2 linked regions of the Danio rerio genome follow. The protein of the gene in region 1 interacts with the protein of each later gene in a biochemical or structural test. Links are inferred from orthologs where the notes say so. Each region holds a gene or a part of one and is shown in the gene's direction. Other genes may lie near its edges.

Region 1 (6,202 bases):
TGGCTGGGAGGGAGAGGCGGGGGGGTGGGGGGAGAGGTACGAGCAGGGAGAACGGACGTCTCTCACTGCACGGAGCTCCTCTCACCTCCCAGCGCTATCCTGGTGAGTCGGAAGCTCAGGGCTGTTTGTGTTGCACCTCTTGTCTGTATCTCAGCTTTGGCTGGTTATGTTTTAACACCACCAGACGCATGTAACCTGTGACGTAATGCTACTTCATCCTTTGGGTGCAAACTTTTCGGGTTATCTTTTTATGATGGTTATTGAAGAGTTAGTTCACCCAAAATGTCAAATCTGTCTTTACTTGCCCTCATGTTGTTCCATATACATTTGAAGATCTGCTAGATTTCTTCCTCTCCATTGACACAGCCTATGACACTGCCACTTCAGTGTTCCTGAAACGAAGTGAAAGCATCCTCTAAGCAGTTCTTGTGACTTCAGATACCTCAGCTTTAAAGGAGCACTCCACTTTTCATCATATTAATAATATTAATAATTACCAGACCCAGAGATTGACTGACTGGAAGCAAAAATGGTAAAAATCACCTATTTAACTGTAGAGGATTACAAAATGAGCCTATTTGCCCAAACAGTGGAGGGTTCAAATAATTTTCTGAAGCAATGAGGTGAAAAAAGAAACTATTTTTTGACGTTTACAACTTCTACTTTGTGCACAACAGTGCCACAAATTGTGTTATTACACAATACATCACTTCCTGTATGTAGAGATGCCGTGCTTTAATTTGACATGGTTAATAATCATAAAGGCTTCTCAACATCACGTTTCATGGAACAAACTGCTGTAACTAAACTAGCTCTGAGTTAGGACACCCCTGCATTAGACTATTTTTATTATTTATTCTTATTTTTATTCATTTATTCATTGTTCTGTCATTTATTTTCAGTGTAAATTTATTACTTAATTTATTACTTTATTACTTAATTTATTACTTTATGCCAAAAATTAGTTTTCACATATTTCTAAGTCAAAAGGGAAATAGTTTTAGGGACTATTGTTTTTTTATTATTATTATTTTGTGCTGTATTTAGTTACTGAGCAGCAATAAATAACTCTTTCAAATATGAGGAGTTTTTATGTTAAGTTTTTTTTTTTTACTTTGAAATGAATGAATGCATAATAATCATGATAACCATGATTATTTCTCAGACTAATCGTACAACCAAAATCTATATCGTTGCATCCCTACCTGTACCTCAGCTCCAGTGTGAACAAAGCACGAATGCGTGGTGGTGCTGTCTTGTATCGAGGAAGTAGTACAAGAAATGCTCTTGTGAGCCTGCATTTTTTAACGCAATTTTTACTACCTTTCTGGACCCTTCAATGGAGTGGCATTAAGGATGAATTAGAGTTTTGAGTGTATAAAACAACCTGAGGATGATTATTACAGTTTTTGGGTGAATTAGCCTTTTATTATGAATAGAAAGAAGCTATGTTAATGAAATATTGATTTTTCTTTGTTTTCCTCAGGGAGTCTGGAAGTGATTTTACAGGGTAGGGGGGTACTTTGCATGTGGGTCCCCCTCCCATTACAGCAAAAAGTCTTATCTTGGTGTCTGATCTTGTCTTTTTTTTGCCTTATTTGTGGTCTAGCAGCTGCCTACTACCCTGCAACACAGCAGTACCAAACGCCAGTGCCTCCTACACCTGTGATGATGAACCCTGCTCAGCAGCAACAGGCTCCACTTCCACAGCAAGCTGCTCCACAGCCGACAGGGCCAGTCAAACCCAGAGAACGCAAACAGGTGGGTGGAAACGACTTTTGCTGTGTTTTTCGATTTAGTACTTTTTTTTTTTTGTCACTTACCTGATGCCGCTTAACAGATAAGGATACGTGACCCCAACCAGGGTGGACGTGATATCACAGAGGAGATAATGTCTGGTGGAAGAACGACTTCCACACCAACTCCTCCACAGGTTTGACACTTTCATGCTTTTGTTCATTATGCCATGCTCATTTATATTACAATGAGTTCATTGTTTTGTTTTGTTTTTCCAGACTGCTGGTACAGAAGTGGGAAGTCCAGTTCAGACCAATGGTGAAAGCGTTCCAACTTTTCCTGCTGAGATCAGCACTGGTGAGTATACATTCTTAATAATAATAATAATAATAATAACAAGCAAAAAAAGTACATTATTGCCAAAACTGTTTTTCCATCCTGAAAAAAGTGGCAAGTTTCAAATGTGATTTCCATGTCTGATAGATTGGATTTATCCACTTGCGTATGCATCAATAACCTCAAAATAAGGAATGTTTCAATAAGGAGGTTGAACCAACTGGAAGTTTAAATCTATAAACTGAGTTGACTTACTAAGAGATTAAAAACTTAAGAGTTCTGTTTCAGAAAAGCGGATAGGAGTTGGGTCAATCAAGTCTGAGTAGACTGATTCAGAGTTAAGCGTGCACACTGCAATTATAAAAAGGTATTATCAATGGAGCGTAGATAATGAGTCACCATGGCAACATCTGAAAAAAAAGAGATCAGCATTTTTCTCCAGCTGAACCTGATGTGCTCATGCAACAAATACAACCATATATTTAAAAAAAAAAAAAAAAAAAGCAACACCACTGTATCAGCGAAACAGAGACTGAGTGTGGAAAACATAGCTATTTAAGTTATTGTGCAAGTTTACGTTTAAAGTATTTAAATATTGAAGAATAATAAAAAATTAATAATGTAATGTGACGTTTATTGACTTTTCACTTAAAGTGGGGAGTTGGCCGTAATTTGAAAGTAATTTCAGACGTAATTGCATTAAATCGTATAAAATAGGCTACTGCATATTTTCTACTGCAAATTTGACAAAACAAGAATGCATATAACCTAAACTTGATGTTCAGAAATGTTTAATTTAAGATTCCCACTTTTACTCGCATTGATCAGTTTAGGATAAAATTTCTAAAATTGAGTTTTTAAATGGATTTAAATGTGCACTCATGTGTCTGAGTAAAAGTTCTCTTTCAGAAACAGGCTTGGCTTACCCTGCTTTCTTGAGTTTGCCAAACCTGCCATTTAAAAACGGAAAACCAAGAGTCTCATTTCAGAGTTAACATACTTTTGAGTTGATGGAGTTTTCACTGTGTTCCAGACCAATTTAAAAAAGTTAAACCTGTAAAAGTGTCATTGTTTTCTATTAAACACTTATTTTAAATGTATTTATTTTAAAAATGTTGCTAAAAGTACAATTAATGGCAAAGATTTACTTCAGTGGTGTATTGTCACTACTGTGGGGCTTAGATGTTACCATCAATCTGCAGTTTTACTAACAGGCTTAGCAGCAGCCTGATACAGTAGATAAGACTGATTGTAGAAGACTGAAGAGCTTAATTTGACAAAAACAACAGTCTGACATACTTTATTTCGCTTATTGCCCCAAAACAAAAACATTTGATACAAAACATTGTTCTGAGTCATAACAGTCTATTAATTTAACTAAAGCAAAGCTGACAGAAACTAAAACAGCTGACTAGAGCTGATGGAACTAACTTGCACATTGTTCAGTCACAAGATGGTACCAAACACCAAGCAGAAATGAAACTGGTTAAATGGAGCATAGATCAACCTATGTATTATTCATTCTTAAGATGGGGCCAAACAGTCAAAAACAGCGGTGTTACATAATGTAACACTTTAATTTGGATATTAATATATGGATGTGAACACAGGTCATGGTGATTTTGAAGTTTACCAAATGAGCATCTGCTATTCAGCGGTTGTTAACTGGGAATAATATACCTTCGAATGTCACAACTGACCAATCAGAATTGAGTATTCCAGACATCAGTGTAATAATTTAAGAAATTTCTGCAGCTTGTCATTTTTATCATTTTCATTTTTGTCAACCATCCATTTTGGTTAGAGAATTTATTTTTATTTTTAATAATGTTTACTCTGCTTGATCTTCAGATGATGAAGTGAAGGCCATGGTAAGTCCTGCATCTGCGTCCACCCCTCCTCCATGTAAGACACCAGAGCCCCCAGCACCTTCATCCATCGACTCTAAACCCGAGTCAGAAGTCAGACCTGCTTCACCAGAGAGCAAGATTCCCAGTCCTCCAGAAGAGGATCTTGTGGTACCCTCTCCTTCTCCTCCTCCTGCAAACAATCCCCAAACTTCAGAGCCTCAAATTGCAGACAGTGTGGATGCTCCAGTGCTCCCTGAAGCCTCTGCTCAGAAGGAGCCCAAGGAGCCCTGTGCTCCTGTGGAGCCAGAGGAAGCCGAGGAGAAAGAGTATGAACCTGTGGCTGAAACAGAAGTTACAGCAGCCTCAAGTCCAGCTGTTGTCGCCTCCAGTGCGGTGGAGTCTTCTCCTAATGTAGCTGAAGATCGTGATGGTGCCCCTGTAATCACAGAGATGCCCGTTCCAGAACTGGCTGCCGATGAGCCAAAGGAACAGCCTTTGTTAAACGGTTTGCCCCAGGACTCTGCAGAGGTTCCAGATGTAAAGCCAGAGAGCTCCGCTAATCCAGTTGCTGAACAAGTGGTTCCACAGGACCAGCAGAGCTGCCTTACAGCTGTTAAAGCATCTGTGGAGGAAACCGAAAAGGAGAAAGCGGAAGAGGCCCCCACCCCTGCACCAGTCTGCCTTGTTGAAGAAACAACTATGCAAGGTTGGTAAATTATTAAATTAGGATTGTAAAGAATATTATTTGTTTATCTCCTTTCCAAGTTTGACTCTAGTTACTGTCTCCCTAGCTGCCTCCCCAATAGTGCTAAAGAAGAAAAAGAAGATCAAGGATCTGAATAAGAAGGATGTTGGAGATGTTCTAGATGCCTTCAAGGAGGTTTGTGCTGTCATTATACATTTGTTTTTACAGTAGCACCTTTTGTGATTTTTTTTTTTATTTATTTTTTTATTACGTTTTTATTTTCTTTCTTTTTTTTTTCTTTTTTTTTTTGTGTGTGTGCATCTTGATTTAAGAATCTTGTGTACCCGTTTCAGCCAGAGGAGGAGAAGCCAGCTCCTGAGCCAGAGGTGGTTCAGAAAGAGCCCCCAGCCCCACCAGTGGAAGAGACAGATGAAACATGGGAGGAAAAAGAGGACAAGCTCGACACAGAAAATATTGAGCCAGAGGCATCTAAACCTGTGGAACAGAAATATCAATATAAAGAAGGTTAGAAGCAAAGTTAAATAAGCTTCATTAAAGATCACTCATCCTCTTATAGGAGCGCTTTAATTCAGGGGGGAATTTTAAAGCATTGTTTTGCGTTGATAAAGTCTTTATCCGATCAGTAAAACTGGTCAAGTTTTATATTATTTATTAATTTCTTTCAATGTTTTAAACTAAAGGAAAAATTTCAGCTTCCTTTTTCTATTCTCCACAATCATATGATCCTTTAGAATTGATAATAACATGTAAATTAGGAGCTGACAAAACCTTTATTATTTGAATCAAGCAAATTTTAATTACAAAGTTTGGTATAATTTGGTGAGAATAGGGGTGAAAAATGACCATTAACCTACCTTAACTTAGAACTTGATATTTTATGTATCAAGACTTGACTTTAAAATACATTTACATGCTTACTCATTTCGTTTTTGATTAATTACATTTACAATCAACTGCTGTCAAAAAGATTCCCGTTAAAACTAATTTAATAATTTACAAATTATGCATTGTGTGCTTGCCAGTGATATGTTTTGTAAAGAGATACACTACGTCTACGCACATTCATTGTTTTGCATGTCATGTTGTGCGCCAATACTTAACCTGTTAAATGCATATGTGAAACATCACAGTATTCACAAAAAAAAAATCACATTTTAAGTAAAATGTTATTGTTCAAAGCAAACACTTTGCCACCATTTCCCCCCCTCAAAGTTGTAGTTTAAGGGTGGTTTCACATCTAGACTTTTATTTCGGAACCTGTCTCCATTGCCTAGTTAGCATGGTTCGTTTGGCATATGTAAATCCAGCAATTGCGCTCGGATCCGCGCCAAAACAATCGCTCCGAGATCACCTGAATGAGGTGGTCTCGGCTTGATTGAAACGAACTCTGGAGCGGATCGATTGTAGTAAGAAAGCGATATGATCCAAGCACGGCAATTTCATAGTGTTTTATGGATATGTAATAGGCATATGGCAATACGAAGAGAGAATTAAGAGTAGGGTGGAAGGTCATTCCAGACATCCCAAGTCTCCCGGAAGTTCTGGGAGTTTTCCGCAAATGCACAGAGACTAC
Region 2 (6,903 bases), on another chromosome or scaffold:
TTGTGTTGTGTAGTATTTACCAAGGTTTGTGGTTTTCTGTAATTTCAAAACGCCACTTTATTTTTACTTGTGACCGTAATTCAGTTCTATATTTTATATATATTTATATTTTATAGTTATTTACTTATAAAGTGTGTCAGTGGGACAGTACAGTAGGTTACGTGTGTGTGTCAAACATTTTGGTCTATACCTTCAGTTGTTCAATCAGAATATTATCAAGCTACAAGAATACTTTTTTGCACTCATAAAACAGAAATAATGACTTTATTCTACAGTTTTAGCCCAAAAAATTACCAGTCAGTTGATGAAGAAGAGCCGAAGTCAGAGATTCAAATAAATAAAGTGTACTGAAGATAGTTTGCAGAAGCCATCTTCAACGCTCTTGTAGAGTTCGTAGGTCGTTCTGCTTATGATCTCAAAACAACAATTCCAAACAATATCTCCACATAAATAAAAACTAAAATCGAAATAGTAATTTAAAAAACATTTTTTTTATGGTTTTGGTATTTTTCTGGACTTTGAGTAAGTCCTGACCGTTGCTGTCTATTGAGAATGAGGGAGCTCTCAGAATTCAACTTCATCTTAATTTGTGGTCTGAAGATGAACAAAGGTCTCTGGGGTTTGGATTGACATGAGGGTGAATAATAGGGTAGATGCGAAAGTATTCGGAAGGACTTTTAATTTGTCAGTTACCTGGGTCAATCGTTTCCAGTAAACTGTATTCAGTTACAAAATAGGCGCGTTTGAGGTGTGTTTACTTTCAAAATCAGCGATCTCCACTGCCTGACTGACATCTGTTATAAAGTGGGTCTCAGATTGTACAAGAAGCACTGCATTAAATTACATTTTCCCTGCCATGTCTTTAAAATATGAACATTTATTTTACCCCAGTATATTCAATGGAGCTTCTGCGCTAGCCTGCTAATACTGATGGGCGCGTGCATGTAAATCATCTCGTTTTACGCTTGAGCAACTAAATGAATGACAAAGTCTTTTTAACTGATTATATTTTAATTACATTACAACATCGATGCTGTAAAACCGTTCACCGGATGTTTATCAGTATGGGAAGAAGCACTAGCTCTGCATATACCCTATTATTGACGAATGTTAAATTTTTGAGTGAACTAACCCTTTAAAGCAGGGGTCACCAATCTCGGTCCTGGAGGGTCAGTGTCCCTGCAGGGTTTAGCTCCAACTTGCCTCAACACACCTGCCTGGATGTTTCAAGTATACCTAGTAAGACCTTGATTAGCTTGTTCAGGTGTGTTTATTTAGGGTTGGAGCTAAAATCTGCAGGACACCGGACCTCCAGGAACAAGTTTGGTGACCACTGCTTTAAAGCACAGATGTCAAACTCAGTTCCTGGAGGGCTGCAGCTCTGCAAAGTTTAGTTCTAACCCCATTTAAACACACCTAATCAAACTAATTGAGTCCTTCAGGCTTGTTTGAAACCTACAGGTGAGTGTGTTGGAGCAGGGTTGAAACTTAACTGTGCAGAGCTGTGGCCCTCCAGGAACTGAGTTTGACACCCCTGCTTTAAAGTGTTTGAAGAAAAGAACTACAGTGTTGAGATGCCTTTTTTTCAGTTCTACATTGAAGATTCACCCTTTCTTTTTCTCTTTATTTTCTCCACCTTCTTTTTAGTATTGCAAGTGTCTTGCATTAGGCCAGCCCTTCAGCTTCAGTCAACAGGACATGCCCAAGCTGAGGAGAATGATGTACAAAGAACTGTGTCATTGCAAACTCTCACTGTGATACTCGTGTCAAGACTGCACAGCCAGTGAGGGAAACAAAACAAAAAAAGATACATTTGTCCAAAAAGCCTGAGAGACTCCACACTGAGGAAATTTCATCCTCAAGTCACTTGTGTTTTTGTTTTGTATAACTCTTCTGTTTGGTTTCGTATTGGAGCCCAACGCCTTGACTGAGACACCGGAGGTTATTAACAGTTGACTGCCAGGCAGGCCCTTGTGTGTTGCTGCCTGAGTCAAACATTCTGTGTTGGGTTTCATTTTTTTGTTCTGCGCATAAAGTTGTTGCAAAACTCCTAATCAGAAATGTTGGCATGAGAGTAACTGTGCTAAAATGCAAGTAACAAATCATGTCTGCCGTTTTGTTTTTAATAAATCATCATGCGAAAATAATAATTGATGCATTCATCAAGAATTACATGCTTTTTTTTGTCACTTAAATAGCCCAATTTGTTATGATGGGTTACTGAATCACCACACTGTTTACTTTGTACTGTGCTCATCCTTTCTTAAACTGGAAGTAATACCAGTAAGCTGTTTTAAGCCTTCATATTTGTAAGAACTGTTAAATGGGAACAACAGCTGTGAATCATAAATGACTCACTTTCGACATTTATGCAGAGGAAGACAAGACATTGGGCAATAAGGGAGGGTTGTCCTGTACTATCTTGAAGTCAGCAGCAAATTATTTGACCCAGTAACATTTTACATTTGACCCAGTAAGATTTTACATTTGAATGCTGTCAGAACCATTTTGAAACATTTCAACAGCGAGTGACATAAATAGTAAAGGTACTCAAATATGTATGTCCATTTAAACCCATCATAAAAACAAACAGGTCTTCGTATTGTCATTTAACGTTATTTACGTTAGCATATTCTATAAAGAAATGGACTCAAAATGTTTTCGACGAAAACCTGTAATTTGTGCTATTTTTTTATACGTGTAGTTGGTTTACGTCATTTAAAAAGGTATTTACCATTTAGAAAGTATCTTTCTAAGCATCACATTTCCTTTGAAATTTGTTTTAAGTTCCAGTTAGGATTTTTCCCCATTTCGTGACGTCTATGAATAGGCGCTTATGATAGGGCGGTGCCAATCGTTAACTAACCAATGAGAGTTGTTACTGGGCGGGACTACAGGCTGACTGAACGGCAAGACGTCCAATCAATGGACTTTGAACATCGTCACGGTTTAAGTATTTGCGCGTTTCCGCCAGTCTACAGTCCTTTGTAATAATGTCGTCTGAACATGAAGATAGGTAAGATAACGTGTTCGACGAATGTTTTTTCTATCTGTTAAAATATTGATTATTTATGGAAAACAATTAGGAATTCTTATCGATTTAAGATGTATTGTAGTAAAAGATTGTTCATTAGCGGTTTAAAAACTAGCATTATTTGCCGATTTGGCATGTTCGTGCTCGCCCTGTTCCCGCCTCGTTAAAATCGTTTAGAAAAGTGTGTTTTTAATCCAGTTTCCTGCGATTTTGTCGTTTTGTTTTAGGATATCGTATTGATGTTAACTAAAAAGTGTTTTAAGATGAATTGGTGCCATATTTTCGATGTTCCGTTAAAATGCCGGTTCTTGTGACGCAACGTGTCTCACGCGCTGCTTCAGTACATCGTGTGACCGGCGCGTCCATGCGGCACATGGCCGTTTCATTTCCCTCGTTTTGAACCGATTGCGGACATTTTCAACATTCATTGTTATGTACTCTACTCGAGAACATTGTTTCGGATGCCATCCATTATTAAAACCGACTTTGTTGGCAGATTTAAGCCCTCAATCGAGAGGATATGTATGGCACATGGCCTTTCATGGGCGAGACAATGGAGTGTGGTCTGGGAGTATAACGTTAGGCCTAACGTCAAGGCCTGTTTTCAACCATTTCAAACCAACTATTTTCTAAGATTAAAATTTTATAACTTTAAAGGGTGGTATTTTTATGGATTTAAAAAGAAGCGAAGCGGTGTCGTTGTTTAATATGTAACTTGATATACTGTAACTTCATAATCGAGAAACATGCGTGTTAATTAAATGGTATATCAATCTGCGTGGTTATGCTGTTTCGTGACGTTTTTTATAAGATTGGATGTTGTAGTAATAGATTAATGTTGAATATGCGAATGAATGTGTCTCGGTGGAGCCACGTTGGTAATGGCGCTGAGCGAAAATGGCTGCCTCTTGGTAACGTAGATTTCAGAGGTTGCTATATCAGTTTCTTTAAGTTCTGTCTCAGTTTAACTAAACAATAATGAACATCGAAAAACAAACCTGTCGGACCCATTTTTATAAAAAGTAATGTTAGGTGGAGTGACAGTCTCCGTCACCGTTACTTTCAGTATGTGGGAAATGACGCAATGAAAGTGAATGGAGATTGACTGTGACTATGCCTCACAGTCTGAGCAATTTTTTTGGGGGGGGGGTGGGTTTATATATATATATATATATATATATATATATATATACATATATATACATACATTCTATGCAGTAGTAAAGTTCAGTTAATGTGTTCTTTGGAGATGTTCAGATTTTGGCACTGAGAAATTAATTTTGCGAAATGAGTTGTCAATGTACTAATTACAACCTCTTATTGCAGACCCAGAGACAATGGCCCGGAGGGGATGGAGCCAGATGGAGTCATTGAGGTTGGTGTCTCTTAAGAGCCATTTCACCTAAAGTATTTATAACCACAATATTGTATACGTCTTTGTGTCTATGGATAGCAGGAATCACTATAGAATAAAGGTAGTAATTAGATACAGATATTACATATAACTAAACATAGTGGGTCATGAATTCCTTATCTTTGATCTGTCCACAAATTTAAATGTAAAATCAGGGCTTCATGTTATTTCGAGGCGGTTATACAATTTATAGAGGCTACAGAAGTCCATATATACTTAAATCTTTTTTTTTTTTTTTTGCAATAAAAATCATAGAATACTCAACAAAACATTATGCAACCCTGAAATAAAGTAATAAAATAGTTACTTGTAAGCTATTTATATTCAGGTGCAAAAAATGAGTTGTCGTGTGTTAATAATAATCAACTATAAATCACATTTATTTTACAGAGCAACTGGAAGGAGATTGTTGATAGTTTTGATGATATGAACCTGCGAGAGGCACTTCTCAGAGGAATCTATGCTTATGGTTTTGAGAAACCTTCCGCCATTCAGCAAAGGGCAATCCTCCCTTGTATCAAGGGTATGTAGAAATGTAACTATCCATCTATATTTGCTTGGCATATTTACTTGAACGAAAATATTTGTTTATTCACGCCCTTATCATCTGGGCAAGGCTGTGTCTGTCAGTGACACTCTGACCTATATCTGGTAAGGGCAGAGGAAATAAAGCCCATATTCATCCCAGTCATCTCAATACAGTGAGGCATAGACTGTTTCATGGTATGGGCACAAACTGCCTCGGCATACTCCTTGAAGGCTTTAGTGAGTAACCGACTGTGAAACACCAAATAATAATAATTAATATTCTCTCTATAGGTTATGATGTCATTGCACAGGCTCAGTCCGGCACAGGAAAGACTGCCACGTTTGCCATCTCCATCCTGCAGCAGATTGATGTGGAGCTGAAGGCCACACAAGCTATGGTTCTGGCACCTACCAGAGAGCTGGCCCAACAGGTGCGAACCATTTCACATTCAACACTAGGGACACAAGATAAAGTCTTGCAAATGTTTCAGTTTTATACACGTGTCCCCTATCATCTGGGCAAAGCTGTGCCTGCCAGTGGCACAAAGCTTATATCTGTTAGGGGCAGAGGAAATGAAGGCCATATTCATCCCAGTCGGCTCAACGTAGTGAGAAAAAGACTGTTTCATGCTATGGGCACATACTTGTCTTAACTTGACTCATGAGCTCAGCTAGTTTCAGATGCAATGAATGTTAAATGGGATTGATCTCTCAAGCTGATGCAGAACTCTCTTCTGTTCTCCTCAGATTCAGAAGGTGGTCTTGGCTCTTGGAGACTACATGGGGGCAACTTGCCATGCCTGCATTGGGGGTACCAATGTTCGTAATGATGTTCAGAAGCTTCAAGCTGATGTGCCCCACATAGTGGTCGGAACCCCTGGCCGTGTGTTTGACATGCTCAACCGCAGATATCTCTGTAAGTACTTGATTTGGTTCATCTTGATTTCAAGTCTAATTCTAGAATTTGAGTTTTGTTCTTTTTTTTTAATTCTATTTAATTGGCTAATTTGCGTTTTTTTTTTTCTTTCACCTCTCCTCCAGCTCCTAAATATATAAAGATGTTTGCCCTGGATGAGGCAGATGAAATGTTAAGTCGTGGTTTCAAGGACCAAATCTATGAAATTTTTCAGAAGTTGGCCACAGACACTCAGGTAAACAAGTCTATATTATTTTGTGTGCATCCACGCCAAAGTTCCCTCACCTGCCAGCGCTCTGTGCTGTGATGGGTATCAAGTTCTTTGGTAGAGTGAAGTAACTGCTCTCCACTATGATTGGGCTCTTCAGTCCCTGTTCATAACTATTTAAGCAGCTGACATTAAATTTAAAAAAAAATATTTGTTTTACTTTTTACTTCATAAAGGAAATCCAACCTGAAGTTTCACACAGAATTGTAAGACATTTTAAGAATCGATTTGATCAAGTAGTTTTTACCAGATGTCGTATTGGGCATACGAGAATAACACATGGTTTTTTGCTCCAAGGTGAAAACCCTACTCGGTGTTTGTGCTGCAAAACTCCTCTTACTGTAAAACATATTTTACTGGACTGTCCTGCTTTTACTGATTCCAGAAAGACTTTTTATGAAATGAACTCTTTTAAGGACATTTTTGACAAAGTGAAACCAGAAAAGATTTTAGAATTTTTATCATGTATTAACACACATCTTAATTTGTTTTATTTTGTTTGTTGATTTTTAAATTGTATATTTATTGTTGAAAGATTCCTGCCATGAAGATAGCCTTGGTTGCTGACATGGCACTAAATAAAAAAAAATACATACATACTTATTAAAGGTTTGAATATGGCTGCTTTTTGCTTTGATCAGTCCAACTATTAATCTTTATGGTCTCAATTTATTTTGAGGCCTGAACCTAATAGAGGGTCTTACCTTTTTTCACAGGTGATTCTTCTGTCTGCCACCATGCCT

The links.
Region 2: the proteins of eif4g1a (region 1) and eif4a1a form a complex in vitro, tested with the Homo sapiens proteins (3 studies listed by IntAct, with this or other methods). The link is inferred for Danio rerio from reciprocal best matches to the Homo sapiens genes EIF4G1 and EIF4A1.

Annotation. Positions count from the first base shown.
Region 1 is NC_133177.1:19,187,801-19,194,002, forward strand, and holds part of eif4g1a (eukaryotic translation initiation factor 4 gamma 1a), read left to right. Parts: coding exon 1-102; intron 103-1,609; coding exon 1,610-1,761; intron 1,762-1,840; coding exon 1,841-1,933; intron 1,934-2,015; coding exon 2,016-2,094; intron 2,095-3,924; coding exon 3,925-4,629; intron 4,630-4,714; coding exon 4,715-4,803; intron 4,804-4,961; coding exon 4,962-5,133; intron 5,134-6,202.
Region 2 is NC_133182.1:26,545,479-26,552,381, reverse strand, and holds the start of eif4a1a (eukaryotic translation initiation factor 4A1A), read left to right. Parts: upstream 1-2,951; 5' UTR 2,952-2,993; coding exon 2,994-3,016; intron 3,017-4,360; coding exon 4,361-4,409; intron 4,410-4,838; coding exon 4,839-4,971; intron 4,972-5,267; coding exon 5,268-5,407; intron 5,408-5,723; coding exon 5,724-5,892; intron 5,893-6,017; coding exon 6,018-6,127; intron 6,128-6,876; coding exon 6,877-6,903. Other genes in the region: senp3b (sentrin-specific protease 3b), read left to right, coding at 1,648-1,758. UniProt on the Homo sapiens protein: ATP-dependent RNA helicase which is a subunit of the eIF4F complex involved in cap recognition and is required for mRNA binding to ribosome.